2 linked regions of the Arabidopsis thaliana genome follow. The protein of the gene in region 2 interacts with the protein of the main gene of each other region in a pairwise test. Each region holds a gene or a part of one and is shown on either strand. Other genes may lie near its edges. The genes, in order: AT1G77550 and AT1G07930.

Region 1 (17,374 bases), about 27 Mb from region 2:
TTCATTTACTGATGTTCAGAAACTTGGCCGCGAAAATCCTGTGGATCCTAATTTCCCTCTCTCAGCAGATGTTGCTGTTATAATGTACACCAGTGGAAGCACTGGACTTCCCAAGGTTAGAAAGTTTTCGAAACCAGTTGACGTGTACAACTGTTGTCTCAGAATAAAAATCTTGTCTATGGTTATCAAAATTGTTCTATCAGCTATTTGTTATTGGTCCTGCAAAATTTACTTAATCTGACTTTCCCACTTCCCAAATAATGTAGGGTGTTATGATGACGCATGGTAATGTCCTAGCTACAGTTTCGGCAGTGATGACAATTGTTCCTGACCTTGGAAAGAGGGATATATACATGGCATATTTACCTTTGGCTCACATCCTTGAGTTAGCAGCTGAGGTATCTTAAAAGTTCATTACTCAATGCGTTTATATAGCAGTTCCACACTTCAGAGTATTTGAATGCGGCCTAATTCCATTGTTGTAGAGCGTAATGGCTACTATTGGGAGTGCTATTGGATATGGGTCTCCCTTGACGCTAACGGATACTTCAAACAAGATAAAAAAGGGTACAAAAGGAGATGTCACAGCACTAAAGCCCACTATAATGACAGCTGTTCCAGCCATTCTTGATCGTGTCAGGGATGGTGTCCGCAAAAAGGTTTGTGCATGTTAGATACACATCGAAATTCTTTGGTTGGCTATCCTCTGTTAAAGCAGTTGAGCTCGTGCTCTCCTAGCTGTTTAAATAATTCCGGCTATCTCCCAGCAACCAAGATGTGCTAAATTGTCTTCATTCTCTTGTGAGTAAAACATTATAATTGCATAAGCACTGACAATTTATGACCATCAGGTTGATGCAAAGGGCGGATTGTCAAAGAAATTGTTTGACTTTGCATATGCTCGGCGATTATCTGCAATCAATGGAAGTTGGTTTGGAGCCTGGGGATTGGAAAAGCTTTTGTGGGATGTGCTTGTGTTCAGGAAAATCCGTGCAGTTTTGGGAGGTCAAATCCGCTATTTGCTCTCTGGTGGTGCCCCTCTTTCTGGTGACACTCAGAGATTCATTAACATCTGCGTTGGGTAAACGAATCCCTGAATATCTCCTTGAGGCTTGCTACTCTCCAATATATCTTTTCGTCCCTTTCCATTTCTATGATCTAACACTGATATTCCTCAGGGCTCCAATCGGTCAGGGATATGGGCTCACAGAGACTTGTGCTGGTGGAACCTTCTCGGAGTTTGAGGACACATCCGTTGGCCGTGTTGGTGCTCCACTTCCTTGCTCCTTTGTAAAGGTAACCTCTTTACCTGATTTGTCCACTTTTAATACTTTGTTAGCTATTTATTAGTTTGTATGTCGTAGTCTCTTGTGATCATATGCTTATATCTTGTTTCAGCTAGTAGACTGGGCGGAAGGTGGGTATCTAACTAGTGATAAGCCGATGCCCCGTGGTGAAATTGTAATTGGTGGCTCAAATATCACGCTTGGGTATTTCAAAAATGAGGAGAAAACTAAAGAAGTGTACAAGGTGGCAAATCAACATTATTGGTTTCGGCAATGTTAAAAGAATTGGTTGGTTTGGTTCTTCCTCTAACCGTTTTATACACTTGAATGTTCAAAGGTTGATGAAAAGGGAATGAGGTGGTTCTACACAGGAGACATAGGACGATTTCACCCTGATGGCTGCCTCGAGATAATAGACCGAAAAAAGGATATCGTTAAACTTCAGCATGGAGAATATGTCTCCTTGGGCAAAGTATAGTTTTCTCAATCCGAATACCCTTTTTTGTCTTCATCACTCAATTCTCCGGAGAAGCTTCTTAAAACATTCTTTTTTTTCGCAGGTTGAAGCTGCTCTAAGTATAAGTCCCTATGTTGAAAACATAATGGTTCATGCTGATTCGTTCTACAGTTACTGTGTGGCTCTTGTGGTCGCGTCCCAACATACAGTTGAAGGTTGGGCTTCAAAGCAAGGAATAGACTTTGCCAACTTCGAAGAACTGTGCACGAAAGAGCAAGCCGTGAAAGAAGTGTATGCGTCCCTTGTGAAGGTATGTTCATTGCTACTCATTACCAAGCTATTTGAGTCCCCCAGTCATTTCCTTATAACATCTGTGTTATGCAGGCGGCTAAACAATCACGATTGGAGAAGTTTGAGATACCAGCAAAGATCAAATTATTGGCATCTCCATGGACGCCAGAGTCAGGATTAGTCACAGCAGCTCTAAAGCTGAAAAGAGATGTAATTAGGAGGGAATTCTCTGAAGATCTCACCAAGTTATATGCCTAAATTTTTCTTCTTCCTTTACTTTTTTTTTTTTTACGTCTCGATGCATTCGAAAGACTTAACAGATGCACAAAAACTTAATTCTAAGAATAGTTATCTCTTTTCTCATTGATGTTTCTGTCTTTTCGTGTAATTTGTGTGGGAACTAGGACGAGACAGAAAAAACAGAGTAATGGGTCTCTTACTCTCAACAATCTTTTTAGGCTTTGAGACCATGTCTATACAACTTAATGGGCCTTTATCAAACCACGTCATTAAGCCTATGCATATAGTTTTTAGTTTATTTGTTTTTGGGACTCGAGATAAACGACAAAAGGAAAGAGACTATCAATTGTAATCTGGAGTGAAAATAAAGTTAATCTTACCAACTACCAACAATTAAGAAAAGATAAATTGGAGATTAGTGTATAAATTAATTATATTGTACTTAACAGAAAAAAAAAAAAAAAAAAGTAGAAAGCAGAGTGAGAGATGGGAGCAATCTAAACCGTCGGATAAATTGTGAATCTCACTGATTTTGTCAGTGAACCCAATGACCAGAGTCAGCGAGACGCGTGAGCTCTTCTTTAATCACATTATTATTATTAAAACCGTTACAACTTCCTTAAATTCAAAAGCTGCTTTCTAAATTCGTAATTTAATTATCCTAAATTATTGTCAATAATGTATTCTCGGGCGGGAATTGTTATAAGCACTTTAAATGTCAATAATTCAAATTAATTAGTACGAAATTACGTTTTAACTTTTAATTCCTTACATTTATATACACAAAAATAATAATTCCTTAAAAAAAGCTGAAAAAGTTAAGATTTAAATGTTTTTTGAGTTCACAGCTCCACATACAGAAGATCACATGCTCTATCTCTCTTTCTATCTTTTGAATTAAAGAAGAAAAATTAGAGAAATATTTCAAAAATAGCAAAAAACAAGATAAAGAGAATTCTCTCTTCTCTCTCTCTCTCTCTCTCTCACGCTATATCTCTGCCTTGTCGCTGTTAATAAATCGTAATAGTGTTTCAGACAGTAGTAGAAGAAGAAGAAAGCTTCTTCCTTTTTGCTTGTTTAATCGCTGATTTTTTTTTGTTTCCATTGGGGCATTTTGGGATCTCAAAGTTCTTCATACAGTCCCCAACCAAAAGGTATTTACTTCACCAAACATTTGGTCTCTTTCACAATATTCTCTTCCTTTGTTCGTTTTTTTTTAATTTATCTACTTAAGTGTTCTCTGAAATAGACCAATGTTTGGAGTGTAGTTTGAGACTTACTTATCACTGTTCCATTACCCTCGTAGCTTTTATTTCCTTCTCTTGGATTTGGGGTTTTGGTAGATTTTCCCTTATGCCTCAACGAGTTTCAAATTTAAAGTTTCAAGCTTTTGTTCTTTGTCTTGTAGCTTTCTCAACCGTTGGTTTTTGATTATGAAACGGACATCTGGAACCACATTTGTTACTATAAAGACAAATTCAGTTCCTTTAAATCATTTCTAATACTTTGTGTTAAATGATTGGTTTATTCAAGATTTTCTCTTATCTTGCATGTTTGCTGATTGGTTCAGTTTACTTCATCTTAAAGTTTGTTTCTTCTTTGACTATGTTTATGTATGTTTCAGCATTTTTAAAGAATCCAATGTATGTGTGTGTGTGTGTGTGTTTTCTCTCTCATTCAGATCCTGAGACTGTTATGTGCTGATTGTGATCTTGGAAACTATAAATGGAGAAAAGGAAGAGAGAATCATCTGAGAGAAGCTTTGGTGAATCAGAGTCTGTGTCTTCACTATCTGAGAAGGATTCTGAAATTCAAGTAAGATCAAGAATTTTGTTTTTGTTATTTTAGTCTTGTGTCCTTTGCATCTAAAAGATCATTGTAATGTCTGTTTTTATTTTTGCTCAAGCCTGAGAGTACAATGGAGTCTCGTGATGACGAGATACAATCACCAACGGTTTCTTTGGAAGTAGAAACTGAAAAGGAAGAGTTGAAAGATAGCATGAAGACTTTAGCCGAGAAACTTTCAGCTGCTCTTGCTAATGTGAGTGCTAAAGATGATCTAGTGAAGCAACATGTCAAAGTCGCTGAAGAAGCTGTCGCTGGTATCAATCTTTTTTTCTACATTTTTGTTTTATGATTCTGCGACTTTTTAGTGAAGATATATCTACTCTTGTTGTGAAGGGTGGGAGAAAGCTGAAAATGAAGTGGTTGAGTTAAAGGAGAAGCTTGAGGCTGCTGATGATAAGAATAGAGTGTTGGAAGATAGAGTAAGCCATCTTGATGGAGCTTTAAAGGAGTGTGTGAGACAGTTAAGGCAAGCAAGAGATGAACAAGAACAGAGAATTCAAGATGCTGTGATCGAGAGAACTCAGGAGTTGCAGTCTTCTAGAACCAGCCTTGAGAACCAGATTTTTGAAACTGCAACCAAGTCTGAGGAGCTTAGCCAAATGGCGGAATCTGTGGCGAAAGAAAACGTGATGCTTAGACACGAGCTTCTTGCGCGATGCGAAGAGCTAGAGATCAGAACTATTGAGAGGGATTTGAGTACCCAAGCAGCTGAAACCGCCAGCAAGCAGCAGTTAGATAGCATAAAGAAAGTGGCGAAACTTGAGGCTGAGTGCAGGAAGTTTCGGATGTTGGCTAAGTCATCAGCTTCGTTTAACGATCATCGATCTACAGATAGTCATTCTGATGGAGGGGAACGAATGGATGTGAGTTGCTCTGATTCATGGGCATCATCCACATTGATTGAGAAGAGAAGCCTTCAGGGAACTTCCTCTTCCATTGAACTTGATCTCATGGGTGATTTTCTTGAGATGGAACGTCTTGTAGCATTGCCTGAGACGCCAGATGGGAACGGTAAGAGTGGACCTGAATCAGTTACAGAAGAGGTTGTTGTTCCCTCAGAGAACTCGTTAGCTTCTGAAATAGAAGTACTGACTTCTCGCATTAAGGAACTTGAAGAGAAGTTGGAAAAGTTAGAAGCCGAGAAACATGAGCTCGAGAATGAAGTTAAATGTAACAGAGAAGAGGCTGTTGTTCATATAGAGAACTCAGAAGTACTGACTTCTCGAACTAAGGAACTTGAAGAAAAGTTGGAAAAGTTAGAAGCAGAGAAAGAGGAGCTCAAAAGTGAAGTTAAATGTAACAGAGAAAAGGCTGTTGTTCACGTAGAGAACTCATTGGCTGCTGAAATAGAAGTACTGACTTCTCGAACTAAGGAACTTGAAGAACAGTTGGAGAAGTTAGAAGCGGAGAAAGTTGAACTCGAAAGTGAAGTAAAATGTAACAGAGAAGAGGCTGTTGCTCAAGTAGAGAACTCGTTGGCTACTGAAATAGAAGTATTGACTTGCCGAATCAAGCAACTTGAGGAGAAGTTAGAGAAGTTGGAAGTAGAGAAAGATGAGCTCAAAAGTGAAGTTAAATGTAACAGGGAAGTGGAGAGCACATTGAGATTTGAGCTCGAAGCTATTGCTTGTGAAAAAATGGAGCTGGAAAATAAGTTGGAGAAGTTGGAAGTTGAGAAAGCTGAGCTGCAAATATCTTTTGACATAATCAAAGATAAATATGAAGAATCTCAAGTTTGTCTGCAAGAAATCGAGACGAAGCTGGGGGAGATACAAACGGAGATGAAACTCGTTAACGAACTAAAAGCTGAAGTAGAGTCTCAAACCATCGCAATGGAAGCAGATGCAAAGACTAAATCCGCAAAGATTGAATCTTTGGAAGAAGACATGAGAAAGGAGAGGTTTGCTTTTGATGAGCTTAGGAGAAAATGTGAGGCTCTTGAAGAAGAGATCTCTCTCCATAAAGAGAACTCAATCAAGAGTGAAAATAAAGAACCCAAGATCAAACAGGTCTGTCTCCAAAGTTCAGGTGTTAGTTAAACTTAGACTGTGTTCCATCACAATCACTTTTTTGTCCACTAAAACTTGATTACTATAATTCAGGAAGACATAGAAACAGCTGCAGGGAAACTTGCGAATTGTCAGAAAACAATAGCTTCATTGGGGAAACAGTTGCAGTCCCTTGCAACACTTGAAGATTTCTTAACCGATACACCGATAATTCCAATGGCTGCAAATGGTGTAAGCAGCAGCAGCAACTCAGAGAGTTGGAAGGTTCACAAAAACGAAACTTTCATGACAAGAAATCATCCTGAGTCCATCAAACCAACCAAAGAAACATCTCCATCTTCTTCTTCTTCTACTGCGTCTGCTGCTGTTTCAATGCCAGTTTCAACAAACCGAGGGAGTTCTGAGAAGAATCGCAATGGATTTGCAACAGTATTCACAAGAAGTAAAGACGGTATCCATCTGGCTATATAACATAACTTTGGCAGAGTAGGCAGAGAAACTTATCTCTTAGGGTTTAAAAAGGATCCGTTTTTAACACCACTTTGTTCCCTTTTCCAGATTTTGAATCCATAGTAGTAGTTTTAAAAGTTAATCTCTAGTGTAATGCAGTGGATGGATATTCCATAAAAGATGTTTCAAAAGTTTTCAATTTTCTGTTAAGAGGTTTTAGGAAGTTTCTATGTGATGTTGTTATGAATCATAATATAAGACAATAAAGAAGAGAAGCCACCATCATAAGAGAAGAATCAAAGACTAGGCATATAAAGAGGGTTCCTATAAAGAGAGAAACATACTATTGAAAAGTTCTTAGACTTGAATCTACTTGGAGACGAATATACATAATAAAGAAGACTGATTTAATGGACGATCAAATTTGCAAGTGTTGGAAGAGAAACTCGACTTGAACTCTAGCTTTCCTTGCTTTGGATTTAGCAGCTTTCCTTGCTTTACGTTTATCGCTAACCATCTTCTTCATAAGCTCCAGTTTATCTCTGATAAAATCTTCATGTCCAAATTCCAATACTCCAGTTCTTCCTTTAACTATTTTGAACCCATGAGAACGAAGGTTGGAGAAAAACCGTGAGAGGTTTGTGCCCAAGTCTACATATTTAGGCAGAATCCTTCTGTAAAACTCTCCAACATTCCAGATAATGAAACTGTTGTTGCTTTCGCTCCACGATATGATTGCATCCGTTGAAGCATCATCAACAACCTCATACACTCTCATGTAGAAATTGTAACCCATCCCTAAAACCTCACAAACTTCACAAATTAGAATCTTAGAATAATTAGGGTTTCGAGATTTTAGCATAGAGAGGAAGAGCAAGAGCATTATTTATAGACGAGCTATCAATTCAAAGGACGGTCAAGATATCAGCAAAATTTCAGCGGTCAGGATTAAAAGTTACAAAGTTTCCTTTTTTCTATTTTGTTTCCTTTTTTCTAATACGCATATATTATGTATATAAATAAGATAGCTTTCACCTAACAAGCATCCGAGGTTCTATGGTGTAGTGGTTAGCACTCTGGACTTTGAATCCAGCGACCTGGGTTCGACTCCCGGTAGGACCTCTTTTTGTTTCTTACATTTTTTTAGTTATTACTTTTCAAAATTAACCCTATTATATCACTCCCACTTCTCTTCTTCTTCTGTCGCCGAAAACGCAGCTTAAGCTAAAACCCCTCAGAGAGAACAATGAGCAAAATCGAGAGCTTTGATGATTTCGTCAAAGTACATGGAATACTTTTGGCGGCTTCAGGTTTGCCGCCGAAGCTTTACCCACGCCTCTTCGAGAAACTTGCTTACGATACTTTTGATGGCGGCGATTACTTCCAAATCGAATCCTGCGAGGATGATCAGCGACGGAAGCTTCTCCTCACTGCCGAATCTATGCCTAAAGATTCTGACGTCTTCCTTGTCGATCACGCCTGGACTTTTCGTCTTCCCGATGCCTATAAGCAGGTAACGCCTACTCTCACTCTCGAAAGAAGCTTATTGAATTTTGGATTGGTGATGAAGCTTAAGGTTTGTTTTAATCTCTTACTTCAGCTTAAGGAAATTCCTGGATTGGCTGAGAGGATGGCTTCTTTGATGAGTGTTGATATTGATGTGGATGCTGGAGAAGAAGAAGTGGCAGAGGAACTCTCTGTTGATCAGATAATTGACAATGAAATTCGTTATGCAGCAGATAAAGGATATGACTCTTTGAGATGGTTGGAGTTGGAGGGTCTTGGTGTTGATGACTCATTGTTGTCCCTGCATTTGCCTAGTAAATTTCAGGCATGTCTTTAGATCTTTCTTCTCCTTTAGTACTTTCATGCTAGACTCTAGCTCAGATGGTGAAGGTTTATTTCAAATGCTAGATTCTAAAGCTTCTTTGTTTGTGCTGCTGCCATTTTTTGGGTAGGATTTAGTGGCGCTTAGTCTTATCGGGAACAAAATAGAGAGTGCGGATGTGGTTATACAAGAGATTGTGAAGTTTAAGAATCTGAAGGCTTTGTGGCTGAATGACAATCCTGTTCTTCAGAAGAGGTAATCATGCATTTACAAAATATATGGATGTGTGTGGATATATAATTAATTTCTCATGTATTTCTTTTTTATGATTATTTTCAGTGAACGTCAGATGGCTGACGAAATATTGCAAGGCTGTCCGAGTCTTGAGATTTACAACTCGTGTTTTACCCCTAATTATGGGTTATGGGCACTTGGTTTCTGTGGAGATATCTTTGGGAAGGATAATCCTGGTTGTGTTCAGCAGGATCAACCCTTGTGCAATGTCACCTCACTTGACCTTTCAAACCGGTCAATACACAATCTAGTCAATAAGGTCAGTTTTGTCCCCCTACTTTCTCTCAGAGAGGCAGGGAGTGTAGTTTATTGACCGTAGAGGCTACAAGCATTGACGAAGGTGTATGTTTCAATTTTGTATTTTACGTGCCTGATTTATCTGCCTTTGCTTTCTTCATTTTCAGGCATTCTCTGTGCACGAGATGCCATTACTTTCTCATTTAAATATTCGTGGAAACTCATTGGATCAGAATTCTGTTGGAGAACTACTTGAAGTCTTGAAGCTCTTCCCTTCACTGTCTTCATTAGAGGTAAATGTTGGAAGTTGTCCTTATTCAGATACAAATTGAGGTTACTGTACAAAGTTAACTAAAATTTATTTATGCAGAGATGAGCTCACGTGTTACTTCTTGTTTGTAGGTTGACATACCTGGACCTCTTGGAATTAATGCTCTAGAGATTCTTGAATCGCTCTCAAACCTTTCTTTACTAAATGGCGTTGATACGGCAAAAATTTTGGAAACTGGAAAGCATGTTGTTGACTCAATGCTTCAACCACGCATTCCTGAGCTGAATCCTGATGATACTCTTGTTGATCGTGTTCTTGATGCAATGTGGTTGTATGCGCTGAATTATCGCCTTGCGGATGATGAAAAGCTTGATGAAACTTCTTTATGGTATGCAATGTTTCTCTTTTTTTTTGCTATATTAGAATTAGTGCGGTGGATTTGCTGGGGATAAGAAATAAAACTCACGGCTGTTTATATTTACTATTTAAACTATCATAACAATTTTCAGTTAAATAGACAAATTAGAGAAATCCAATATTTAATATTTGTGACGATTCTAATCCAACACTGAAAGCTGAAAGAGTTACCACTCTTTGTATGTCGGAATGACCATTTTCACTTTTGGAATGTATTCTCACCCTAGCATTTGTTTCTCTAGACTAAAGCCTTCTTTGATTTGACTGGGCGAGGTCTCCTTTGGTGTATATATGTGCAAAATTTCTATAGTATTGGGAATGAACATTTGATGCTAGTCTACTTCTTAAGAGGTTAGAATTAGGAGGGGGAATCAAACAGTTTATGGATAGTCTTGTCTGTAGTTCTTGGGCACATAATTTTTGGATATGTATGACTGTGAGTGGTGCAGTGATATCACTTTTTCGCAGGTATGTGATGGATGAATTGGGTTCAGCTTTGAGGCATAGTGATGAACCCAATTTCAAAGTAGCTCCCTTCCTTTTCATGCCTTCTGGGAAACTAGAATCTGCTGTGAGGTAGCAACTTTTAAAAAATTTCCTGCACTGCTCCTCGTATTTGTTAAATTCAACTTCTATGCGCTGTAAACACGTGTTATGTTGCTATAGTTCAAAAGTGTAATGTGGATTGACATGCGCTTCTTGATCAGGGCTCACATGTCATGTATGCAAATATTTTCTATCTTCATGTTTATTTGGTTTTATATGTTCCAGCTATTCGGTAATGTGGCCTATAAAGCATTCTCAAAAAGGTGATGAGTGCACTCGTGATTTTCTATCTGGTATTGGGGAGGACAAACAGCGGTCTGCGAGACTCACAGCCTGGTTTCAAACTCCTGAGAATTATTTTATTCATGTACTTCCTCGGTGTCCTCTTTAGCTTTCTGTTCATTAGCAGACTTCCTTTCCTCTCATTTCATACAAAGATTTTTGTTAATTAACAGATTCGCTGTCATGATTTCCTAGGAATTTGAGAAATACCAACAGAAACTGCAGGCCAAAGCCTTCGAGTCAAAACCTTCCAACCCTTCAGTTTCCCGAAGCATACAGCATAGTGATGGGTCTCCTTTGCTGGTTTACACGGATCTACCTCAAGTTGAAGAATTTCTGACACGCCCAGAATTTGTGATCAGTATGTGATTTGATCCATTTTTCATGATATCTACGTCTCATTGGATGGATATACTAAGCAATCGTCTGCATAAATGCATTAGACGAATCAAGAATTTTCTTTGTGTTTTCTGAGTTGTGTCACTTGCCTGCCTGCAGCAAATGAACCAAAAGATGCAGACATATTATGGACAAGTGTACAGGTGGATGATGAGCTCAAAAAAGAGGTGGGAATAACAGATGACCAGTACATAAATCAGTTTCCCTTTGAGGCATGTCTTGTTATGAAGCATCATCTTGCAGAGACTATTCAAATGGTAAATTCAGCAGATTATACCCTTAGATTATCATAGCACGTTAGTAACTTGTTTCTGAAATCCCTATGTTTTGCTTTACAGGGTTATGGATCTCCAAAATGGTTACAGCCTACCTATAATCTTGAAACCCAATTGTCCCAGTTTATTGGGGACTATTGTGTCCGCAAACGTGATCAATTGAACAATTTGTGGATCTTGAAACCATGGAACATGGCACGGACAATCGACACAAGTATAACCGATAATTTATCTGCTATCATCCGCATGATGGAAACTGGTCCCAAGATCTGCCAGAAGTACATAGAGCACCCTGCTTTGTTCAAGGGGAACAAGTTTGATCTGCGATATGTTGTGCTAGTGCGGAGTATTGACCCGCTGGAGATTTACCTAATAGAGATATTTTGGGTAATGCTTATTTTAATTTTCATTACAACCAATACAAGCGCTTATTTACTCATATATATCAATCCTATATGTTTGATTTCAGGTTAGGTTGTCCAACAATCCATATTCATTGGAAAAGCACAGTTTCTTTGAATATGAAACTCACTTCACTGTCATGGTATTAGTTAAGAACACTCTTTCCACATAATGATTCAGCAACTCTCGTTTTCCCTTTTCATGTTCATTCTCTTATGCGTTTCAGAACTATGGTCGGAAGTTGAATCACAAGCCCACGGCAGAGTTTGTGAGAGAATTTGAACAAGAACATAACGGTATACACTATATTTGGGTTTACTTTCTCCAGATTTTTATGCATTTCATTTTGTCAATAACACAATTCAACTCTCAATAGTTAAATGGATGGATATCCATGAGAAGGTGAAGCAGGTGATACGGGCAGTGTTTGAGGCGGCAGCTCTCGCGCATCCAGAGATGCAATCCCCCAAATCTAGAGCAATGTACGGAGTAGATGTAATGCTCGATAGCTCCTTCGAGCCAAAAATTTTGGAGGTTCGTTACTAAAACTACCTGACATATACTTGTTTCCTTGAGAAAAACTCTTGGAAATTGCAAGTTCTCATGATTGTCTATGCAACGCAGGTTACATACTGTCCTGATTGCATGCGGGCTTGCAAATATGACATGGAAACCATAGATGGAAAAGGTATTGTTAAAGGCGGAGATTTCTTCAATAATGTATTCGGGTGCCTCTTCTTAGACGAGACTGCACACGTTACTCCATTGTGAGCTCAATTGGCAGAGAGAAGAGAGAAGATGGTTGGTTTAGTTCCAAACTAGAATGGTTTTATTTATAATCATGTCTTTTGTAAGTTATGCACAATGAGAGTTTTGCTTTATTAGCTACATTGTGGAAAATTGAAATCCTAATGTACGTTTATTAGCTACATTTAGCCAATGAAGCTTTCGTTATTTTAAAATCTTAAAAGTCCTCCTAAAAATTATTCATAACAGAACACCGCGGTTAATAGGCCCATTAATAGGCCCGATAAGAATCAGATAAAGAAACATTCCTTCGATTTACGTTTATTGACAAATGACGAACACGGCGGCGACAACGGAGGCGAAGATGGCGACAGAGCCACCAAAGATAGTGTGGAACGAAGGCAAAAGGCGATTCGAGACGGAGGATCACGAAGCTTTCATAGAATACAAGATGAGAAACAACGGTAAAGTGATGGATCTGGTTCATACTTACGTTCCTTCATTCAAACGAGGATTAGGTTTAGCTTCTCATCTCTGCGTCGCCGCTTTCGAACACGCCTCTTCTCACTCCATCTCCATCATCCCTTCTTGCTCCTACGTTTCGGTACGAATTTCTTTTAAAAATCTACTCGAAATTCTGGATCTTGAAATTGAATTCGTGAGCTTTGTGTATTTTGCAGGATACGTTTCTTCCTCGAAACCCATCATGGAAGCCTCTGATTCATTCAGAGGTATTCAAGTCTAGCATTTGAATAACACTTGTTTCTCATTGTGCTCTGTAATAAGTAAATGTCGTTTGATGATTGTAATCAAAATGAGAGTAAATGAATATTTTATGAATCCTACTGCTTTCGATAGCAATGAATCGAAATTGGGATTTACTAGCTCGTGCTTTTTGGTGCAATCAAACTCAAAGGTTACAGTAAGAAAACATTATAGAAACGTTGTCGGAGCATAAGAAGAAATGTTTCAATTACAAACCTAAAGCAAACACCCTTTCACAATTATTATTACAATCTGTTAATATAATACACTAAACAATCTTGAAAAGAAAACTTAGCATGTAGCAGAATTCGTGAATTCCAAATCCTTATTTGTGGAATTCGATAACAGAATATGAATAAGAAAGACATATGATTTCACATAGAAGAAAGCCTGACGCAAACGCTAAATTCTCGAACTGCGAAAGAGATCGCTCTTTACCACCAGAGCATTGTGTTAACATCAACAAGTCCATGCCCAACACGGTGTTACACGAAAAGTCATTAGGCTTTGGTTCCATTGGTGTAATCATCTCTACAATGATCACTTTACCTTTTTCCGGTAGACTTTTCCAACAATTTTTCAGAATCTTTATACAATCCTCGTCTCCCCAATCATGTAGTATCCACTGTCAATAACTTAACCATATTATATTTCGAAAATAATGAGACTCAATTATAATTTATCGATTCATAAACATATAAACTTACTTTCATAAAGATGGCATCTCCTTTTGGAACTTCAATAAACATGTCTCCGGAGACATGCTTGACTCCTATCATTAGTATTAGTCAAACCATACAAAAGATTTAGGAGGTACATTAGTTAGTAATACTAGCACAGCAAATATACTAAGTATAGTTTTGTACCTGGATAAAAAGGAGCTTGGGTTAAAACTTGAGCTAAGTCGAAATTAACACCTTTGATATGAGGATACTTGGAAGTGATGAGACCTAATATGGTGCCGATACCTCCTCCTACATCCACCAAAGTGTTAACATCTTCAAATCCTCTGTATTCTTCTAGAACCTTCTTCATGACCATTGTGGAAGATTCCGACATTGCGCGGTGAAACAACTTAGAGAACTGGTCATCCGAACTAATATATTCGAAAAGTCTCATGTCGTGGGCAGAGCTGAATGCATCTTTTCCTTCTAGTATCACATCCTTGAGATTTGTCCTATATATGGAATTTTTTCAAAAAAAATATCTTCAAATGTTCATTTACGTTTTATGTTCACTAACCATGTTTTGAGAATGACTTGGCTATGGAGCAACAATAACAAGGACGAGAGAGAACCAGAGCCGTCACTATCTTTCAAGAAGTACTTGCAAATCGGTTCAGCTGCATATACTCTCTCGATCTTTCCGGTTTGACCATTTTCTCTGCTTTCAACCATACAACACTTCAAGATCGAGTGGCTTACAAGTAACCGCAGCATCCGGTCCAGCAATACCGGCGCCTCCGGGTTAGTGGGTTTGTTTGGGAGACTAACGGCTATCTCAGACGGTGAGAGCCACGTGCCGTTGCTAGCAGCAGCGATCGTATCAATGACTCCAAGCTCTAAGGCGGCTTTGAGAACCATGGGGAAAGCCACGGCGTTGACTATACTCTCCGCTTGCAAGCTCACCATTTTCTCGTCGATTTCTTGTTCTTCTTTGGTTAAACCCGGTTTAGGGTAAGTGGTTAAGGGATCTTGAAGATGGTTTGACATAATTGTCGATATAGGTTGAAAGATTGAAGAAGATGATAACAAAGGTAGAGTTGATTTGAGGATGTGGTTTTAACTTTCACAGTTAGTGATGTTTTTATAAGGAGAAATCCCAAAGACAAGTGGACTGATTATGTTTAATACTAATTTATTGTCACGGGGATGGACAAAAAGATGATGGTTCATGTATTTTTTTTTGAATAAAAGATGATGGTTCATGTAGATAGTTTGCGATTGTTGTTGTTGTTGTTGTTTTGATATAGATAACAATGGCAAAGAAGATTGAATTCGAGATTCACACTAGTGCCATGCACTGAGACGCGTGTAGTAGTACTCAAATGCGAATTAAAAGTTAACTAATGAAAGATGCGTCAGAGTTTTCATTTTTTTCTTCACATCGAAAAGGTTAAAATAGAATATCGACGATTATAAAAAAAAAAACTACAAATTTTAAAACGGTCAACTATATAAAACATACGATGCGATAGGAAAGAAAATCATAACCAAAGTTTGGTGATATCTTCAGTTTCAGTATGCTTATTGTGGTGATAAACAAAGATTTATTATGGACAACACTAAGTCACTAACTGGTATCATGATATATATTTCAAGGAAAACCTCTTTTTCAGAGAAAAAGATATATTTCTAGAAATCTCACAATTAAAGGGAAATTACTGCAATTATAATTTTTCAATATATGACCATAATAAAACTGACACTTTAGGAATCTTTGCAAATTAATTATTTAATGGTAATTTTAGATTATTTCTTAAAATTGTGAAATTTTTGTAAATCAAAACTAATAATAATAATAATGATATTAATAAATTCCAACGAGAAGGGATCATAATCTATATATATTAATTATCCCAAAAAAGGAAACAAAATAATTGTGAAATTTTTGTAAATCAAAACTAATCATAGTAATGATAATATTAATAAATTCCAACGAGAAGGGATCATAATCCATATATATTAATTATCCAAAAAAGGAAACAATGTCATAATTTTTAATAGTAATTTCTTAAAACCAATTTATTATTAACAGGTGGATGATGATTTAAATGCATAAGAAGAGAAAAGAAAAAAAATAATTATATATGCAAGTAAAGTCATATTACTCACTTTGTCGTTCTATTATTTTTTCTCAAATATCAATGCATAATTTATTATGACTATTAATAATTTGCAATCTTTTTCTATTGGTTAATTTTTAAAATAAATGTTAGATACTATATTTATGGGTATTTAATATTAGAATAACAAAACATTTATGGTCTCTTAAACTTTGTGCTTATTTAGAAAATATTATAATCTGGAACGTTGGGAGTGTAGATTAGCTGTCAAATATATGATTTATTACTTAAATGTGTTTATCTTATTTAGGTTATTCTTTTAATAAATATTTTGGTTTGACTCTCAAATTGGCATTAATTATTTTGGTCAAACTTAACTTTATTGCCTTTAATTTGAGTAAGAATAAAAAAATATCTGTGTGTGTGTTGTCTGTATATATATGTAGACATTGTTGATAAGAAAAAATATTCAGTACCAGATAAACACAACAACAAAAGAAAAAATATAGACATATCATTTGCATCATGAAATCTGTTAGTGCGTGTGTGGTTCTTTGTGTTCTCATGTTTTTCGTGATGTATAATGCTAAAGGTGAGATATATATAATTCATATAATTTCGATTGTTTATATACTTGCTTAATATGAAAACATTGACTGATGAAAAAATGTTATGAATGTAAATTTTTGTGTTATCAATTTTGTATTTATCTAACACGTTTCATCCACCATCTAATATTTTTGTGGTTGATATGAAACAGTGGAGGCAGAAGATCGTCCACCTGTACTTGTTGAATACTTTCCGGGAACATATTGTAGTCCAATTCGTGCTCGGGGTCCTCAACAGTGCAAAGATGAAACTAAGGATCCTTACTATCCTAATTGCGTTTGTATAAATCAAGCAAGTGGACATGATTGTTCATGTACTCATTGATAAGTTTCCTTTATATGTATGCGTTACTGAATCTTGAGAACTAAATCTATTTAATAAAAATTAGATATTTATCTTTGATTTATGTGTCATGGCCGGGTAGGAAATAAATTTGATTCATAAAAATTCAAAATACCCTAAATAAAATATCCCTCGAGAGCAATGTAATAGTTTACAAAACCAATCCATTTTTGAGCGTTGAAGTTCCCATTATCTGTGATTTATCGTATAATCTCCACTCTAAGAATTACCAATCTGTGGATGATTCGATTTGATTCCTAAATTAGCCGCGTCTTATTGTATCAATCAAAGCTTTAGGATTGTGATGAGTTTCGTATTTTATTTTGTGGTGGTATTCTGATCATGTCACACAATTCAGGCTCACATAATGAAATGGAATGAATACATGTTTAGTTCTCTTTTATTTATTTATAATTCCATAGCGAAAACAAAAGTAGGGGTCAACCGAACCACGTGAATCAGGATATCACTTTCTTCTAACCCACGCAGGAAAATATCTTTAAGGAAGCACTAACTTGTGATTGATCCTATAATCATTTAAAAGCGTCATACTATTATTAAATTTTTAAGTCTATAATAAAATTTTAAATCCAA
Region 2 (15,633 bases):
ATTGACAGAAAAAGCTAGCTCATAATATAAGTCATTTTCTCTCAGAAAAATCGCATGTGCATATCTATGGAACTGGTAACCGCTGTTCTTGGAGATCATGGTCAACGCCCACTGGATGATTATGGTGAGTCTTTTTTTGTTTTTAGGATGTTCCTTAATTGTGAAAGTCAGATAACTCTGTTAAAGCTGTTCAGCTAAAAGGAAATGTTGATTTGCATCTTGCAGTGGTAGTGACTGCTGTTACCGAGTTAGGTAATGGGAAGCCCCAGTTCTATTCAACTTCCGAAATAATTTCATTTTGCCGGAAATGGCGTCTACCCACAAATCATGTTTGGCTGTTTTCCACAAGGTAACTTAACCGCTTTCTATTCATTGCTTCTATCATCTTTGGTGTTCTTTTGCTTCTATCATTTTTGGTGTTCTTGCCCATACTTCTCTAGCTGAGGTTTTGATATCTTTGGACACATTATCTTAACTATAGTAAGAATGTGCTGATAGAACCTGGTTGATGCATTTACTGGTCCAAATCCATAGAGTCTCAACCTTTAGAGGTTTTTGGTCCTACTAGGAGGAAATACATGCTTATATGTTTGGATGCACACATTGTCCATAGAAGTTTTTATTAGACAGCTTGTCGTGAGGAAAATGAAAGTTTTAACAAAGGTGGTTGCGTGTATTTTGTTAAAAACAATTATGAAGGAAATCAGTGACCTCTTTTTTCGCGGCGTTTGATGCACTGTGTGAAGAAGGGATAGCAACCTCGGTCTGTAGAGCTCTTGATGAAGTAGCTGATATATCAGTCCCAGGTAAAGTCTTTCTTATTTTTGTATTCACTTTTGCTTTTTGGAGGATTCATATTAGTTATTCATAGAACTGAACTTGATTAAATTCATTCGACGAATTATTTCTTGGACGAAAATAAGCAGCCTCAAAGGACCATGTTAAGGTGCAGGGTGAGATATTAGAGGGTCTTGTTGCTCGTATCGTGAGCAGTCAGAGCTCAAGAGATATGGAAAATGTCTTGAGAGATCATCCTCCACCACCCTGTGATGGAGGTGCACTATTTATCATATTTTAATTTTACTTAAGTTTTCATGATAATCCACTCTATCAAGTCCGTGTAGAATAAAAAATGTTTTCCCTGGATTTTAAAATTTCAGCTAATCTTGATCTGGGACTCAGTCTAAGAGAGATATGTGCTGCCCATAGATCTAACGAGAAACAGGTTCTAAAAGAAATTTAAATATGACAAGCTTTATAAAGTGGAATTTTTATGCTGCCATCTCTTGATAAAGATTTCTCATTCTAGAGGGTCCTTTTCCCTTGTTTGTGGTGCTATAGCAAATGAGAGCACTTTTAAGGAGTGTTGGGCCAAGCTTTTGCCCCAGTGACGTGGAATGGTTCGGAGATGAATCTCATCCGAAAAGTGCTGACAAATCTGTTATAACAAAATTCCTGCAATCTCAGCCTGCAGATTATTCAACTAGTAAATTACAGGTAAATTGAGATCTGTGTCTTCGTTGATTTCGAATCGCTGAAGTTATTTGTTATGTATATATCTTTCACTTGCAGTGTTCTCTCATGTGGTAATATTTACCAGTTTCTATTATTTATGTGTTTTTGACGAGCAACTGATTTTCTTTTTTAATAGGAAATGGTACGCTTGATGAAGGAAAAACGTCTTCCAGCCGCATTCAAGTGTTACCATAATTTTCATAGAGCTGAGGACATATCACCTGATAACCTTTTTTATAAATTGGTTGTCCATGTGCACAGCGATTCAGGATTTAGGCGTTACCACAAAGAGATGAGGTTATCTTTAAACACGTCTTAGTTACTTATGTCTTTCAGTTTGACCAAACTACGAAAGTATTGATTTCTGTTTACTGAACCATATTAATTACCGTGTTTCAGGCACATGCCTAGTTTGTGGCCTTTATATCGAGGTAAATGCTTTTACTTGTTTCTTATTCTATAACTTTGCTTTCAAATTCCATGTTAATGCACCATTTCTGATTCATTTGTTAGAGTTCAATAATTTTGTCTCTACTTTGCACAGTTCCTAGTCTTTGTGAAATAACTTTGTTAGGAAATCAAATTTTCTTGGATGTTTCAGATTTGGTTGTTGTGGTAGCATGCTATGGACCATTGCCATCTGTTTTTCGTCTAACTATATTAGTTAGTGATCTTCTTTTTTCTTTTCAGGTTTCTTTGTTGATATTAATTTGTTCAAGTCAAACAAAGGGAGGGATCTGATGGCTCTGAAAAGCATTGATAATGCCAGTGAAAATGATGGTCGAGGAGAAAAGGATGGTTTGGCTGATGATGATGCTAACTTAATGATTAAAATGAAGTTTCTCACATACAAGGTAATTTTAGGATGGAAGGTCTTCTGGCTAGAGGGATTTGTAATTTGTTGCAATTTCCTGGCTCTTTCGTTGCATTATCATCCTGATGTTGGACATGTCTTCATTTTTTTTACAGTTGAGAACCTTTTTGATCCGTAATGGCCTATCAATTCTATTTAAAGACGGGGCAGCAGCTTACAAAACTTACTACCTTAGGTGAGCTGCTTTCTCCCTATGAATATATACATATAGAGTGATGTGTCAAATGTTATAGTGATGTTTTGCATTGCATTGTAAAACAAAACGTGGAGACTAGTTGTTGCATACTCATTATGTTTTGATTATGTAGGAGCTGACGTGGTCAAGCTTTAATTTGATTTTTTTCTAATATCATTGTTGTTTCTGCATCCAGGCAAATGAAAATCTGGGGTACGTCAGATGGAAAGCAGAAAGAACTTTGCAAGATGCTTGATGAATGGTACCAAAATCACACTACTCTACACATGTAGACTAAGCTTATACAATTTTGTGGAAACTTATTTCCTGAGCAAATGTGTAACCTACTGCCTAGATAATTTTTCATCTTTTTGAATCTGGATTAGCATCTCATCTTCTCTTCTCTTCACTACGTGCAGGGCTGCTTACATAAGAAGAAAGTGTGGGAATGATCAGCTATCTTCATCAACATACTTAAGTGAAGCTGAGCCATTCCTGGAGCAGTACGCGAAACGGAGCCCAAAGAACCATATTTTGATAGGGTCTGCTGGGAACCTAGTTAGAACTGAGGACTTCTTGGCCATTGTTGACGGTGATCTAGATGAAGAAGGCGATCTTGTGAAGAAACAAGGAGTGACACCAGCTACTCCTGAGCCAGCTGTGAAGGAAGCTGTCCAAAAGGATGAGGGGTTAATTGTATTCTTTCCAGGTATTCATTGTTATATATTATTTCATGTATTCTGGTTGTTGGTTTTAGTTCATTTTTGTGGCAGTGTCTTATATTGAACTTATGGATGGTAGTGGTTATCAGCTTGTAATTGTTTTAGTCATTCAGATAATAAAACATTAGTAAAAAATCAAGTTTTTTACTTCTGACCAGAAGTGAGAGCAACACATTGTTTTAGAGTGACTGGTGGTATATTTTTCTGTATATGTCGTTTGCTTTGACATCTCCTTTAATCTCTTTTCTTCTGATTTCTACAATATTAATGTTTTCTCAGGAATTCCTGGATCTGCTAAATCTGCACTTTGCAAGGAGTTATTGAACGCCCCAGGAGGCTTTGGAGATGATAGGCCAGTGCATACTCTGATGGGTGATCTTGTCAAAGGTATTTTAGAATGTAGGTTTTTTTTGGGTCAAAACTGCTCTGGTCTCTCAATTTGCTATGCCATCTCATGCAATATTCTACATACGGGACAGGAAAATATTGGCCAAAGGTTGCTGATGAACGTCGTAAAAAACCACAATCGATTATGTTGGCTGACAAAAATGCCCCAAATGAAGATGTCTGGAGACAGGTAATTAATCCTACGTTGAGAATCTGTTACAACCTTACATTAAGTAGAAATGAGTATTAGGCTTATAAGATTCTCTGCCTCTCCTCGTGCATTTAGAATAGCTCTACGCATGGGTCCTTTAAGAGTGGCTTTGGCTTACAAGTCTCATTTCAATCTTATTCTCGTATTTCCCTATTAGATTGAAGATATGTGTCGGAGAACTAGGGCTTCTGCAGTTCCAATCGTTGCTGATTCTGAAGGTATGTAACTATGCATCCATTCTTTGATGTATTTCAGTTAACAATCTTCTTTTCTGCTGTTTATACGGTCATCTTCAATTGATTCCATACTATTTGACCTTCAATTGATATGATGACCCTGTGAACGTTATGATTATGAAAGGTTGAAGGATGAATTATCTTTTACTGAATTTGCTCCCGTTTTATTCATGTATAAATATAAGGTTGATACTCGATTTTCTGCATATAGTCGGAAGTTTATACTTCGCTTAAAAACACAAAGAGTTGTTCTGCTTTATTTTCTCAATTACTGCCTTGCGTCATCCTCTGTATTCTTTGTGATCTTTTGCATTATATTTACTTTTGCCCCTCTATGAATGCACAGGAACCGATACAAATCCATATTCACTTGATGCCTTGGCTGTATTCATGTTCCGTGTACTTCAACGAGTTAACCATCCGGTATACAGTTGCCTCTTATACACAGTTCAACTTCAACTGCATCATCCAACTTTCATCACAACCCTACATCTTTAACAAACTATCTTTTCTTCATGTGCAATAAATATTTAGGGAAAGCTCGACAAGGAATCTTCAAATGCAGGTTATGTGCTATTGATGTTTTATCACCTTTATGAGGGAAAGGTATTATCACATACTCCACAACTTATTCTTTTAAGTAAATCTATGATTTGATCTAACTGAACTTTCTTTAAATTTTAGAACCGTAATGAATTTGAGAGTGAATTGATTGAGCGCTTTGGCTCCCTCATCAAGATGCCACTATTGAAATCAGACAGGTATACAGTTGACATCACATGCGAGCTAACAAACTCGAACTTAGCACAGCTACAAATTGCAACTTCATATTTAATTGGTTCATAAGCAATTTAATTGTCTTCTCTTTGTGCATATACAGGACTCCTTTACCTGATCCTGTTAAATCAGTTCTTGAGGAGGGCATTGATTTGTTCAATCTCCATAGTAGAAGACATGGGAGGTGGGTACCAACACTACCATTTTAAATGACTTGAAAAGTTGAATTTATGTCAAACCGAAGTATTTTGAGCATCGTATGCCAAAACTTGTTCATCGTGTTATATATTAAACAACACCTTCTGTTCTGACGATAAAAAATGAAAGGCAATAGTAATAATTTAGCAAAAACTAACAAGACATCGGATTTATTTATCCTGTGACTAGATGTACTTGGATCATGTAACTGGAGAAATCCTACACATGAGTGTGCTCACAGGCGTTTTTATTTCTTGTTCTGGCTGTTCTCTACTTCATTCTTTTAGCTCTAGCTCCTGTTGGTTGCTTCTGACCTGTTTTCCTTCTGATTTTTCTTGTTGTAGACTCGAGTCAACAAAAGGAACATATGCAGCGGAATGGACCAAATGGGAGAAACAACTACGAGATACTCTAGTTGCAAATTCTGAGTATCTCAGTTCTATTCAGGTAAAAAATTCCTTTGTCATTGATGGCTCATGAAAAGCAAGAAATCTGCGATTGAATTTTAAACTGCTTCAATGTTCCTTCAGTACATGGTAAAAGAGTATAAGAAGAAGGATGTACATATGATGTCTTTGTTTTCTGGTTTGCAACTTTCAGGTTCCATTTGAGTCTATGGTTCATCAAGTGCGAGAAGAGCTAAAAACAATAGCGAAGGGTGATTACAAGCCACCAAGTTCGGAGAAAAGAAAACACGGGTCTATTGTTTTCGCTGCCATCAACTTGCCTGCTACTCAAGTTCACAGTCTTCTTGAAAAGGTAACCAACCAATTTCTTATACTATCATATAAAAAAACAAAAGGAATATTGAGACAAGAACTCTTCAACTGCCGAAAACTAAAGGTTAAGTATGGGCTTTGTTATTAATTAATAGATGTTATTCTTATCAGTTGGCTGCAGCAAACCCAACAATGAGATCTTTTCTAGAGGGAAAGAAAAAGAGCATACAGGAAAAACTTGAACGGTCTCACGTGACGCTCGCCCACAAGAGAAGCCATGGCGTAGCAACTGTAGCCAGCTATAGTCAGCACTTGAACAGAGAGGTACCCGTAGAGCTCACCGAGCTCATCTACAACGACAAGATGGCTGCTCTAACAGCCCATGTTGGATCTGTGGACGGAGAGACCGTAGTCTCCAAGAACGAATGGCCACATGTTACATTGTGGACAGCGGAAGGCGTTACTGCGAAAGAGGCCAACACGTTACCTCAGCTTTACTTAGAAGGAAAGGCGAGCCGCTTGGTGATAGATCCTCCGGTGTCAATCTCAGGTCCTCTGGAGTTTTTCTGAATACTTGATTAAACATGGAAGTTTCTCTCTTGAGGGAGGTTGCTCGTGGAATGGGACACATATGGTTGTTATAATAAACCATTTCCATTGTCATGAGATTTTGAGGTTAATATATACTTTACTTGTTCATTATTTTATTTGGTGTTTGAATAAATGATATAAATGGCTCTTGATAATCTGCATTCATTGAGATATCAAATATTTACTCTAGAGAAGAGTGTCATATAGATTGATGGTCCACAATCAATGAAATTTTTGGGAGACGAACATGTATAACCATTTGCTTGAATAACCTTAATTAAAAGGTGTGATTAAATGATGTTTGTAACATGTAGTACTAAACATTCATAAAACACAACCAACCCAAGAGGTATTGAGTATTCACGGCTAAACAGGGGCATAATGGTAATTTAAAGAATGATATTATTTTATGTTAAACCCTAACATTGGTTTCGGATTCAACGCTATAAATAAAACCACTCTCGTTGCTGATTCCATTTATCGTTCTTATTGACCCTAGCCGCTACACACTTTTCTGCGATATCTCTGAGGTAAGCGTTAACGTACCCTTAGATCGTTCTTTTTCTTTTTCGTCTGCTGATCGTTGCTCATATTATTTCGATGATTGTTGGATTCGATGCTCTTTGTTGATTGATCGTTCTGAAAATTCTGATCTGTTGTTTAGATTTTATCGATTGTTAATATCAACGTTTCACTGCTTCTAAACGATAATTTATTCATGAAACTATTTTCCCATTCTGATCGATCTTGTTTTGAGATTTTAATTTGTTCGATTGATTGTTGGTTGGTGGATCTATATACGAGTGAACTTGTTGATTTGCGTATTTAAGATGTATGTCGATTTGAATTGTGATTGGGTAATTCTGGAGTAGCATAACAAATCCAGTGTTCCCTTTTTCTAAGGGTAATTCTCGGATTGTTTGCTTTATATCTCTTGAAATTGCCGATTTGATTGAATTTAGCTCGCTTAGCTCAGATGATAGAGCACCACAATTTTTGTGGTAGAAATCGGTTTGACTCCGATAGCGGCTTTTTACTATGATTGTTTTGTGTTAAAGATGATTTTCATAATGGTTATATATGTCTACTGTTTTTATTGATTCAATATTTGATTGTTCTTTTTTTTGCAGATTTGTTGACAGTCTCTAACCATGGGTAAAGAGAAGTTTCACATCAACATTGTGGTCATTGGCCACGTCGATTCTGGAAAGTCGACCACCACTGGGCACTTGATCTACAAGTTGGGTGGTATTGACAAGCGTGTCATTGAGAGGTTCGAGAAGGAGGCTGCTGAGATGAACAAGAGGTCCTTCAAGTACGCATGGGTTTTGGACAAACTTAAGGCTGAGCGTGAGCGTGGTATCACCATTGACATTGCTCTCTGGAAGTTCGAGACCACCAAGTACTACTGCACTGTCATTGATGCTCCTGGCCATCGTGATTTCATCAAGAACATGATCACTGGTACCTCCCAGGCTGATTGTGCTGTCCTTATCATTGACTCCACCACTGGTGGTTTTGAGGCTGGTATCTCCAAGGATGGTCAGACCCGTGAGCACGCTCTACTTGCTTTCACCCTTGGTGTCAAGCAGATGATCTGCTGTTGTAACAAGGTAACCATATCTTTCATCTGTTATGTGACTACACATTGCTTCTCTTTTTGTGTTCTGTCTCATTAATTGCGGTTTGTTACATGTTGTTTGTAGATGGATGCCACTACCCCCAAGTACTCCAAGGCCAGGTACGATGAAATCATCAAGGAGGTGTCTTCCTACTTGAAGAAGGTTGGTTACAACCCCGACAAAATCCCATTTGTGCCCATCTCTGGATTTGAGGGTGACAACATGATTGAGAGGTCCACCAACCTTGACTGGTACAAGGGACCAACTCTCCTTGAGGCTCTTGACCAGATCAACGAGCCCAAGAGGCCGTCAGACAAGCCCCTTCGTCTCCCACTTCAGGATGTCTACAAGATTGGTGGTATTGGAACGGTGCCAGTGGGACGTGTTGAGACTGGTATGATCAAGCCTGGTATGGTTGTGACCTTTGCTCCCACAGGATTGACCACTGAGGTCAAGTCTGTTGAGATGCACCACGAGTCTCTTCTTGAGGCACTTCCAGGTGACAACGTTGGGTTCAATGTTAAGAATGTTGCTGTCAAGGATCTTAAGAGAGGGTACGTCGCATCCAACTCCAAGGATGACCCTGCCAAGGGTGCTGCTAACTTCACCTCCCAGGTCATCATCATGAACCACCCTGGTCAGATTGGTAACGGTTACGCCCCAGTCCTGGATTGCCACACCTCTCACATTGCAGTCAAGTTCTCTGAGATCTTGACCAAGATTGACAGGCGTTCTGGTAAGGAGATTGAGAAGGAGCCCAAGTTCTTGAAGAATGGTGATGCTGGTATGGTGAAGATGACTCCAACCAAGCCCATGGTTGTGGAGACCTTCTCTGAGTACCCACCACTTGGACGTTTCGCTGTGAGGGACATGAGGCAGACTGTTGCAGTCGGTGTTATCAAGAGTGTTGACAAGAAGGACCCAACCGGAGCCAAGGTTACCAAGGCTGCCGTCAAGAAGGGTGCGAAGTGAACCATCCTCAAAACTCTATCTGCCGCAGGTGAATCAAAGGACAGTGTTAGTTTTATTACAATAGTTTGGTATTTGGTCGCGTGTCTGTGTTCTTGTTTCGTTTTCTCCCCGTCAGAGCGTTGTTCTCGTAATTGGGTTCTTGATCGGAGGTGGCGGATCTACACACACATTCTTCCTGTTTTTTGCTTTTTATTTGTTTTCTCATTTTGAACTGTTTTAAAATTTCTGTTATATGAATGAATGTTTTCCCTGCGGTTATTATCTTCTTTACTCTAATTTTCTCTTGTTGCGTAAATCGTTTCCGAAATCTTTTTACCTCTCTTCTCTATTGTCATAATTAATCGCTGCTTTCAATTTAAACTTTTTGAAAGCTAAAATAAAAGTTTTATGGTTTCAAATACTCACCGTTACCGTTCTGTCCGCAACACGTGTATTCAATTTGTTGCTGGGCTGTAATGATCGGCCCAAATCAATCTAATTTTTTATTTATTTTTACATGTCCAATATAAGGCTTAATAGATAAATTGGACTTGGTTAAGGTCCATTATAGATGCCACTGTGGTACCATTAGCCTTGCATTGTTTTTTTTGTTTTTACATGCCCAATATAAGGCTTAATAGATAAATTGAACTTGGTTTAAGGTCCATTATAGTCCAATATAAGGCTTAATAGATAAACTGGAATTACATGAGAGTAGTGGTATCATACCAAAATTCATGATTTTGCATCATTATTTTCTGGCATTGGATGATGATGAATATATAAATATTTCGCTTATGAAATAGAAAGCCTTGCTCAAATAATGAAGCACATGAGTTGGACTTAAAGCCAAAAATAAGGCGAGATGTTTTTTTTTTTGTTAAAGGGTTTAATAAGGCGAGATGTTACCAGTGTATTTGAAGCAAATCAATGTAATCAGTTGTACACAGGCAGGAGATATATAGCGATCAGATACATAAAATATATGTATAAATACGTACTTTTTGCTAGTGCTCTCTACCAGCGTTTTCATTATGAAGTCTAATTTTTTTTTTTTTTTTTTTTTTAACTGATTTGTTCTGATTTATAAATCTTCGTATGATCGTATCTAAAGAGAACATGCTCCCGTGAGTCGTTGACGTTAAGTATGGGGGGAGACATTACCGGAACGAAAATTAGTAAAACAGGCGGCCAGACATAAGGGTAAAATTGTCATTACGCTAAGGAGATTATCTTAAACCCTAACTTTTTTCCGCTTCACCACTATAAATACAAACTTGTTTACCCTTCCAATTTATTTCTCTACTTGTCCACTTTTCTACAGCCGCATCATCCTTCTCCCTTGTGCGATATCGTTTGCGTGAGGTTAGCTTTTCATACGATTCTTCGATTTGAATTCTTATTCTTCCGATCGATTTGGTAGATTCAATTTCGTCCCGTTGTCGTTTGCTTCTTCTTAATCACTTCTATGCTTCTTTACATGTAACTCTCTGATTTGTTGATAGGATCGTTTAGATTCTTTGATTCCATGGCTTTGAACTTATCGATTGAGGAAATTAACGTTCTGTAGTGCAATCGAACTGGCTTTCCTTTTATTATTTCAAATTCAGATCATGTAATCTGTCGATCTAGTTCTTTGAATTTTCTGTTGTGCGATTGATTGTTTGTTAGATCCATATGTGTAAGGTTAAATTGATCTATTGGTATAATACATACGTTTCTAGTTATCAAATTGATTTGTGATTGGGTAATTCTGGAGCAGCATAAAAAATCCATTGTTTCTTTCCTTCTTGAATCTAAGTCGTGGAAACTCTAGGATTGTTTGCTGTATATCTCTTGAAATTGCTTGTTTGATTGAATTTAGCTCGCTTAGCTCAGATGATAGAGCACCACAATTTTGTGGTAGAAATCGGTTTGAATCCGATAGCGGCTTTTAACAATGATTGTTTTTTGTGTTCATATGTCTACTGTTTTTATTGATTCAATATTTGATTGTTCTTTTTTTTGCAGATTTGTCTGAAAAGTAGCTAACCATGGGTAAAGAGAAGTTTCACATCAACATTGTGGTCATTGGCCACGTCGATTCTGGAAAGTCGACAACCACTGGACACTTGATCTACAAGTTGGGTGGTATTGACAAGCGTGTGATCGAGAGGTTCGAGAAGGAGGCTGCTGAGATGAACAAGAGGTCCTTCAAGTACGCATGGGTGTTGGACAAACTTAAGGCTGAGCGTGAGCGTGGTATCACCATTGACATTGCTCTCTGGAAGTTCGAGACCACCAAGTACTACTGCACTGTCATTGATGCTCCTGGTCATCGTGATTTCATCAAGAACATGATCACTGGTACCTCCCAGGCTGATTGTGCTGTCCTTATCATTGACTCCACCACTGGTGGTTTTGAGGCTGGTATCTCCAAGGATGGTCAGACCCGTGAGCACGCTCTCCTTGCTTTCACCCTTGGTGTCAAGCAGATGATCTGCTGTTGTAACAAGGTAACAAAAGCTTCTTTTATCTCTTATGTGATTATTGCTTCAAATTGTTTGTGTTCAGTCTCATTAATTGGATTTTTCTTTCATGTTGTTTGTAGATGGATGCCACTACCCCCAAGTACTCCAAGGCCAGGTACGATGAAATCATCAAGGAGGTGTCTTCCTACTTGAAGAAGGTTGGTTACAACCCCGACAAAATCCCATTTGTGCCCATCTCTGGATTTGAGGGTGACAACATGATTGAGAGGTCCACCAACCTTGACTGGTACAAGGGACCAACTCTCCTTGAGGCTCTTGACCAGATCAACGAGCCCAAGAGGCCGTCAGACAAGCCCCTTCGTCTCCCACTTCAGGATGTCTACAAGATTGGTGGTATTGGAACGGTGCCAGTGGGACGTGTTGAGACTGGTATGATCAAGCCTGGTATGGTTGTGACCTTTGCTCCCACAGGATTGACCACTGAGGTCAAGTCTGTTGAGATGCACCACGAGTCTCTTCTTGAGGCACTTCCAGGTGACAACGTTGGGTTCAATGTTAAGAATGTTGCCGTGAAGGATCTTAAGAGAGGGTACGTCGCCTCCAACTCCAAGGATGACCCTGCCAAGGGTGCTGCTAACTTCACCTCCCAGGTCATCATCATGAACCACCCTGGTCAGATTGGTAACGGTTACGCCCCAGTCTTGGATTGCCACACCTCTCACATTGCAGTCAAGTTCTCTGAGATCTTGACCAAGATTGACAGGCGTTCTGGTAAGGAGATTGAGAAGGAGCCCAAATTCTTGAAGAATGGTGATGCTGGTATGGTGAAGATGACTCCAACCAAGCCCATGGTTGTGGAGACCTTCTCTGAGTACCCACCACTTGGACGTTTCGCTGTTAGGGACATGAGGCAGACTGTTGCAGTCGGTGTTATCAAGAGTGTTGACAAGAAGGACCCAACCGGAGCCAAGGTTACCAAGGCTGCAGTTAAGAAGGGTGCAAAGTGAACTCGAATCCTCAAAACTCTATCCGCAGATGAATCAAAAAACAATATTAGTTTCTTTACTTTAGTTTGGTATTTGGTCGCGTGTTATAGCTTCGTTTCTTCTCCATCGGAACTCTGTTCCCGGAACTGGGTTCTTGATCGGAGGTGGCGGAGCTACTTTGCACCTATTTTGCTTTTGAATTGTTATCAATTTTGAACCTATTTGGAGATTCGGTTATATGATGTGATTTTCCGAGGATATTCTCTCTTTTTTTGTTGCGTGTATCACATTCGAATTCAGTCTCTTGGATAACTTGTGGAAAAACTTATAACTTCAAGAAAAACCTTATAAACACTTACAACTTCAACAAAATATCGTAACTGCCATTGTAGATTGTTTTTACTCCGATTCGCTTGAGCAGCTTGAAAACAAAAGCAACGCATACCACTTTGAAGAAAAACGTAGCTAGTACATACATATATTTTACAATGTAAAAAGTAAACAACACATTTATAGATCTTTTGTTTATCAAACGTCAAGTCAAACAAATTCGATCTTATTGATCCAGCTATAGTCATAAATTCATTATGATCCGCCCCGTGAGTTAAGTTATGCAAAACACTGAATCCGACCCACACAAATCATCATGAAACCAAGGAGTTGTCTTATATTAACCGAACCAACAAGCTTTAAAACTTTTCTTGCACACGACCAATGGCCAATTTCCATCTATAAATCATCCGATCAACCATATTACGATTATGTCAAAGATCAAGTGTCTTCCTCTTCACCGAGGGATTCAAGTTTAACCATTATTGACATATAGAGTTCAGTACTGTAAATATAGACTATACTATCTCGGTTTAACAAAAAATGTCATTATATCTTAATCTTTGGTTTTACAAAGAGTATCGTTTTGTATTTCCCATGATGCATATCATTAAACTAAAACATTTTCTTTTATTCCAATTATTTCAGTTTATTAATAAAAGAAGAAAAGAATATTTTTAGTGTATTTGTAGAGGATAAGAGAAATTTAAACAGTTTACTTAATTTGTGTAACATATGTTGTAGAGAATATGTTAATTTTGAATATACGAATCATTGAGTTAGTAAAGCATCATGAATTGTAAATATAAATGTATTCAACTCTCTATCTACACTGAGTTACATTAAATTTTACAATTTTCCCATGTATGTAAATATTTATGATATACCTAACTATGTATTAGTGCATTTGTTTTATTTTAAATGATATTTAAGGTTTTTACACATAGATTTAGTAATTATTATTACTATTTAATTTTTTGTGCACATGATTTCGAAATGATTTATTGTTATGTTCTTATATTAAAATATTTTTGTCTACTTATAAATAATTCAATCAATAAAAACATACAAGAGTATTTAAAACATTACTCACGATAAACAGAGAAAAGGTATATATAAGATACTATTTTAAATAGTGAGTTAATAGATAACTAATATAATCAGCCAATTACAAGTGAAAGAAGAATTTTGTATAAACCTCGAAATTGATAGGTAATGAATCAAAATATGACGCCAAAAAAATTTATAAATGAAAATGTAATAGTTTTGGGCCTTTGGTTTAAAATGAATAAATATCACCAAATTATGGGCTATAGTATTGGGCTCTATCAAAGTACAATTAATATTTTTGGTCTAAATTTAAAATATCGAGCCCAAGGTTTTCAACAAAGTGCGTTATTATCAGGACACTATAGTGAAACAAAATCCACTCGCATCAATCGCGCGTAGAGCGCGTTCAGCGAAAATGCGTGGTCTAATAACCCACCAAAACCGCTGTTTTTAATTAAAATCCCTTTCCTCGAAAAATCCCGCGCGTGACCATATTGCTTTGGTTCTCTTGTCCCCATATTTATCGCATTATTAAAATTTTAAAAATGGATTACTTACCAGCTGACAAAAAAATGATTTACGCGTTGCTCTAAGTTATTGAAACTAGCGTATAGCCGTATACTATATAATTAAAAAAAAAATAGAGGATTTAACATTAAAACGTATGCAAATCTTTTCAATGTAAACCTTTAATGAGTCACTTATGTCTTTCTTTTTTTAACATTTTCTTTATGATTTATGAATCAGGTTGAAACAATATTGTTAGGGTGTAAAGCTTCAGTTATTAAAATGGTTCACGGTAATTGAAAAAAAAAGAAAGAAAAGCCATCATCTTGTCCTCTCCATAGCCAGGTATAGAGACCCGAGTTGAGTACCTTCATATCGACAAGATTACTCAAGCTTCTGCAATCTACTTCAAATTTGATGTTTGCATATATATCTTCTTCCCCAACAGCTTCGCATTGCCGTTATTTAAACTTGAAATTTGCTTTGTTCCTTACATCTATTTCAAAGAATCAACGAATAAAATCATCTCAAAAGCCTTCTCTTTGACTGCATTTTTTTGCTAAATCTCTTCGACTGTATTAACTTTAAATATTACAGCCAAAATCAAAGAAATAACATTAGCCTTTATAAACTGATATAGACTTGTTTCTCCAATGTTGTTTAAAGTTCTAGATTACAATTTTACCATGTAAGAAACTTCAGAGGCTGATCGTTGAATTTTAGAGAAGAAAAACAGACTTAAGTTGATAAGATAAGATAATATCCGCAGGAATGACACAAATATCATATAACCGAATATCCAAAAAGGTTCAAAATCATAACACAAAACAAAAGAAATAAACAGGAAGCTCGAGTGCCAAGTACCTCCGCCACCTCCGATCAAGAACCCAATTCCGAGAATTGAGCTCCGACGGAGAATAAACGAAGCGGTAACACAAACAACCAACCAAATACCAAACTACTAAAGTAAAGAAACTAAAATAGTCCTTCATTTCATCAGCGGAAAGAGTTTTGATGTTCAGAGTTCACTTGGCACCCTTCTTGACTGCAGCCTTGGTAACCTTGGCTCCAGTTGGGTCCTTCTTGTCAACACTCTTGATAACACCGACTGCAACAGTCTGCCTCATGTCCCTCACAGCGAAACGTCCAAGTGGTGGGTACTCAGAGAAGGTCTCCACAACCATGGGCTTGGTTGGAGTCATCTTCACCATACCAGCATCACCATTCTTCAAGAATTTAGGCTCCTTCTCAATCTCCTTACCAGAACGCCTGTCAATCTTGGTCAAGATCTCAGAGAACTTGACTGCAATG

The links.
Region 1: the proteins of AT1G07930 (region 2) and AT1G77550 interact in a two-hybrid assay, tested with the Arabidopsis thaliana proteins (one large-scale study listed by BioGRID).

The regions. Positions count from the first base shown.
Region 1 is NC_003070.9:29,133,419-29,150,792, reverse strand, and holds AT1G77550 (tubulin-tyrosine ligase), read left to right. Parts: upstream 1-7,742; 5' UTR 7,743-7,827; coding exon 7,828-8,094; intron 8,095-8,181; coding exon 8,182-8,412; intron 8,413-8,539; coding exon 8,540-8,664; intron 8,665-8,748; coding exon 8,749-8,962; intron 8,963-9,107; coding exon 9,108-9,233; intron 9,234-9,342; coding exon 9,343-9,599; intron 9,600-10,096; coding exon 10,097-10,204; intron 10,205-10,399; coding exon 10,400-10,541; intron 10,542-10,651; coding exon 10,652-10,817; intron 10,818-10,954; coding exon 10,955-11,112; intron 11,113-11,193; coding exon 11,194-11,517; intron 11,518-11,599; coding exon 11,600-11,674; intron 11,675-11,758; coding exon 11,759-11,828; intron 11,829-11,908; coding exon 11,909-12,066; intron 12,067-12,156; coding exon 12,157-12,303; 3' UTR 12,304-12,516; downstream 12,517-17,374. Other genes in the region: LACS9 (long chain acyl-CoA synthetase 9), read left to right, coding at 1-115, 267-398, 486-659, 852-1,081, 1,179-1,296, 1,399-1,530, 1,624-1,758, 1,847-2,053 and 1 more; AT1G77580 (filament-like protein (DUF869)), read left to right, coding at 4,000-4,089, 4,181-4,376, 4,456-6,131, 6,225-6,602; AT1G77570 (Winged helix-turn-helix transcription repressor DNA-binding protein), read right to left, coding at 7,000-7,443; AT1G77540 (Acyl-CoA N-acyltransferases (NAT) superfamily protein), read left to right, coding at 12,611-12,883, 12,960-13,031; AT1G77530 (O-methyltransferase family protein), read right to left, coding at 13,370-13,669, 13,752-13,816, 13,911-14,221, 14,287-14,756; AT1G77525 (defensin-like protein), read left to right, coding at 16,355-16,421, 16,590-16,762.
Region 2 is NC_003070.9:2,448,003-2,463,635, forward strand, and holds AT1G07930 (GTP binding Elongation factor Tu family protein), read left to right. Parts: upstream 1-10,181; 5' UTR 10,182-10,343; intron 10,344-10,988; 5' UTR 10,989-11,011; coding exon 11,012-11,473; intron 11,474-11,568; coding exon 11,569-12,456; 3' UTR 12,457-12,815; downstream 12,816-15,633. Other genes in the region: RNL (RNAligase), read left to right, coding at 46-124, 226-349, 700-806, 927-1,055, 1,161-1,225, 1,342-1,497, 1,652-1,812, 1,915-1,946 and 14 more; AT1G07920 (GTP binding Elongation factor Tu family protein), read left to right, coding at 7,557-8,018, 8,112-8,999; AT1G07940 (GTP binding Elongation factor Tu family protein), read right to left, coding at 15,348-15,633. UniProt on the Arabidopsis thaliana protein: This protein promotes the GTP-dependent binding of aminoacyl-tRNA to the A-site of ribosomes during protein biosynthesis.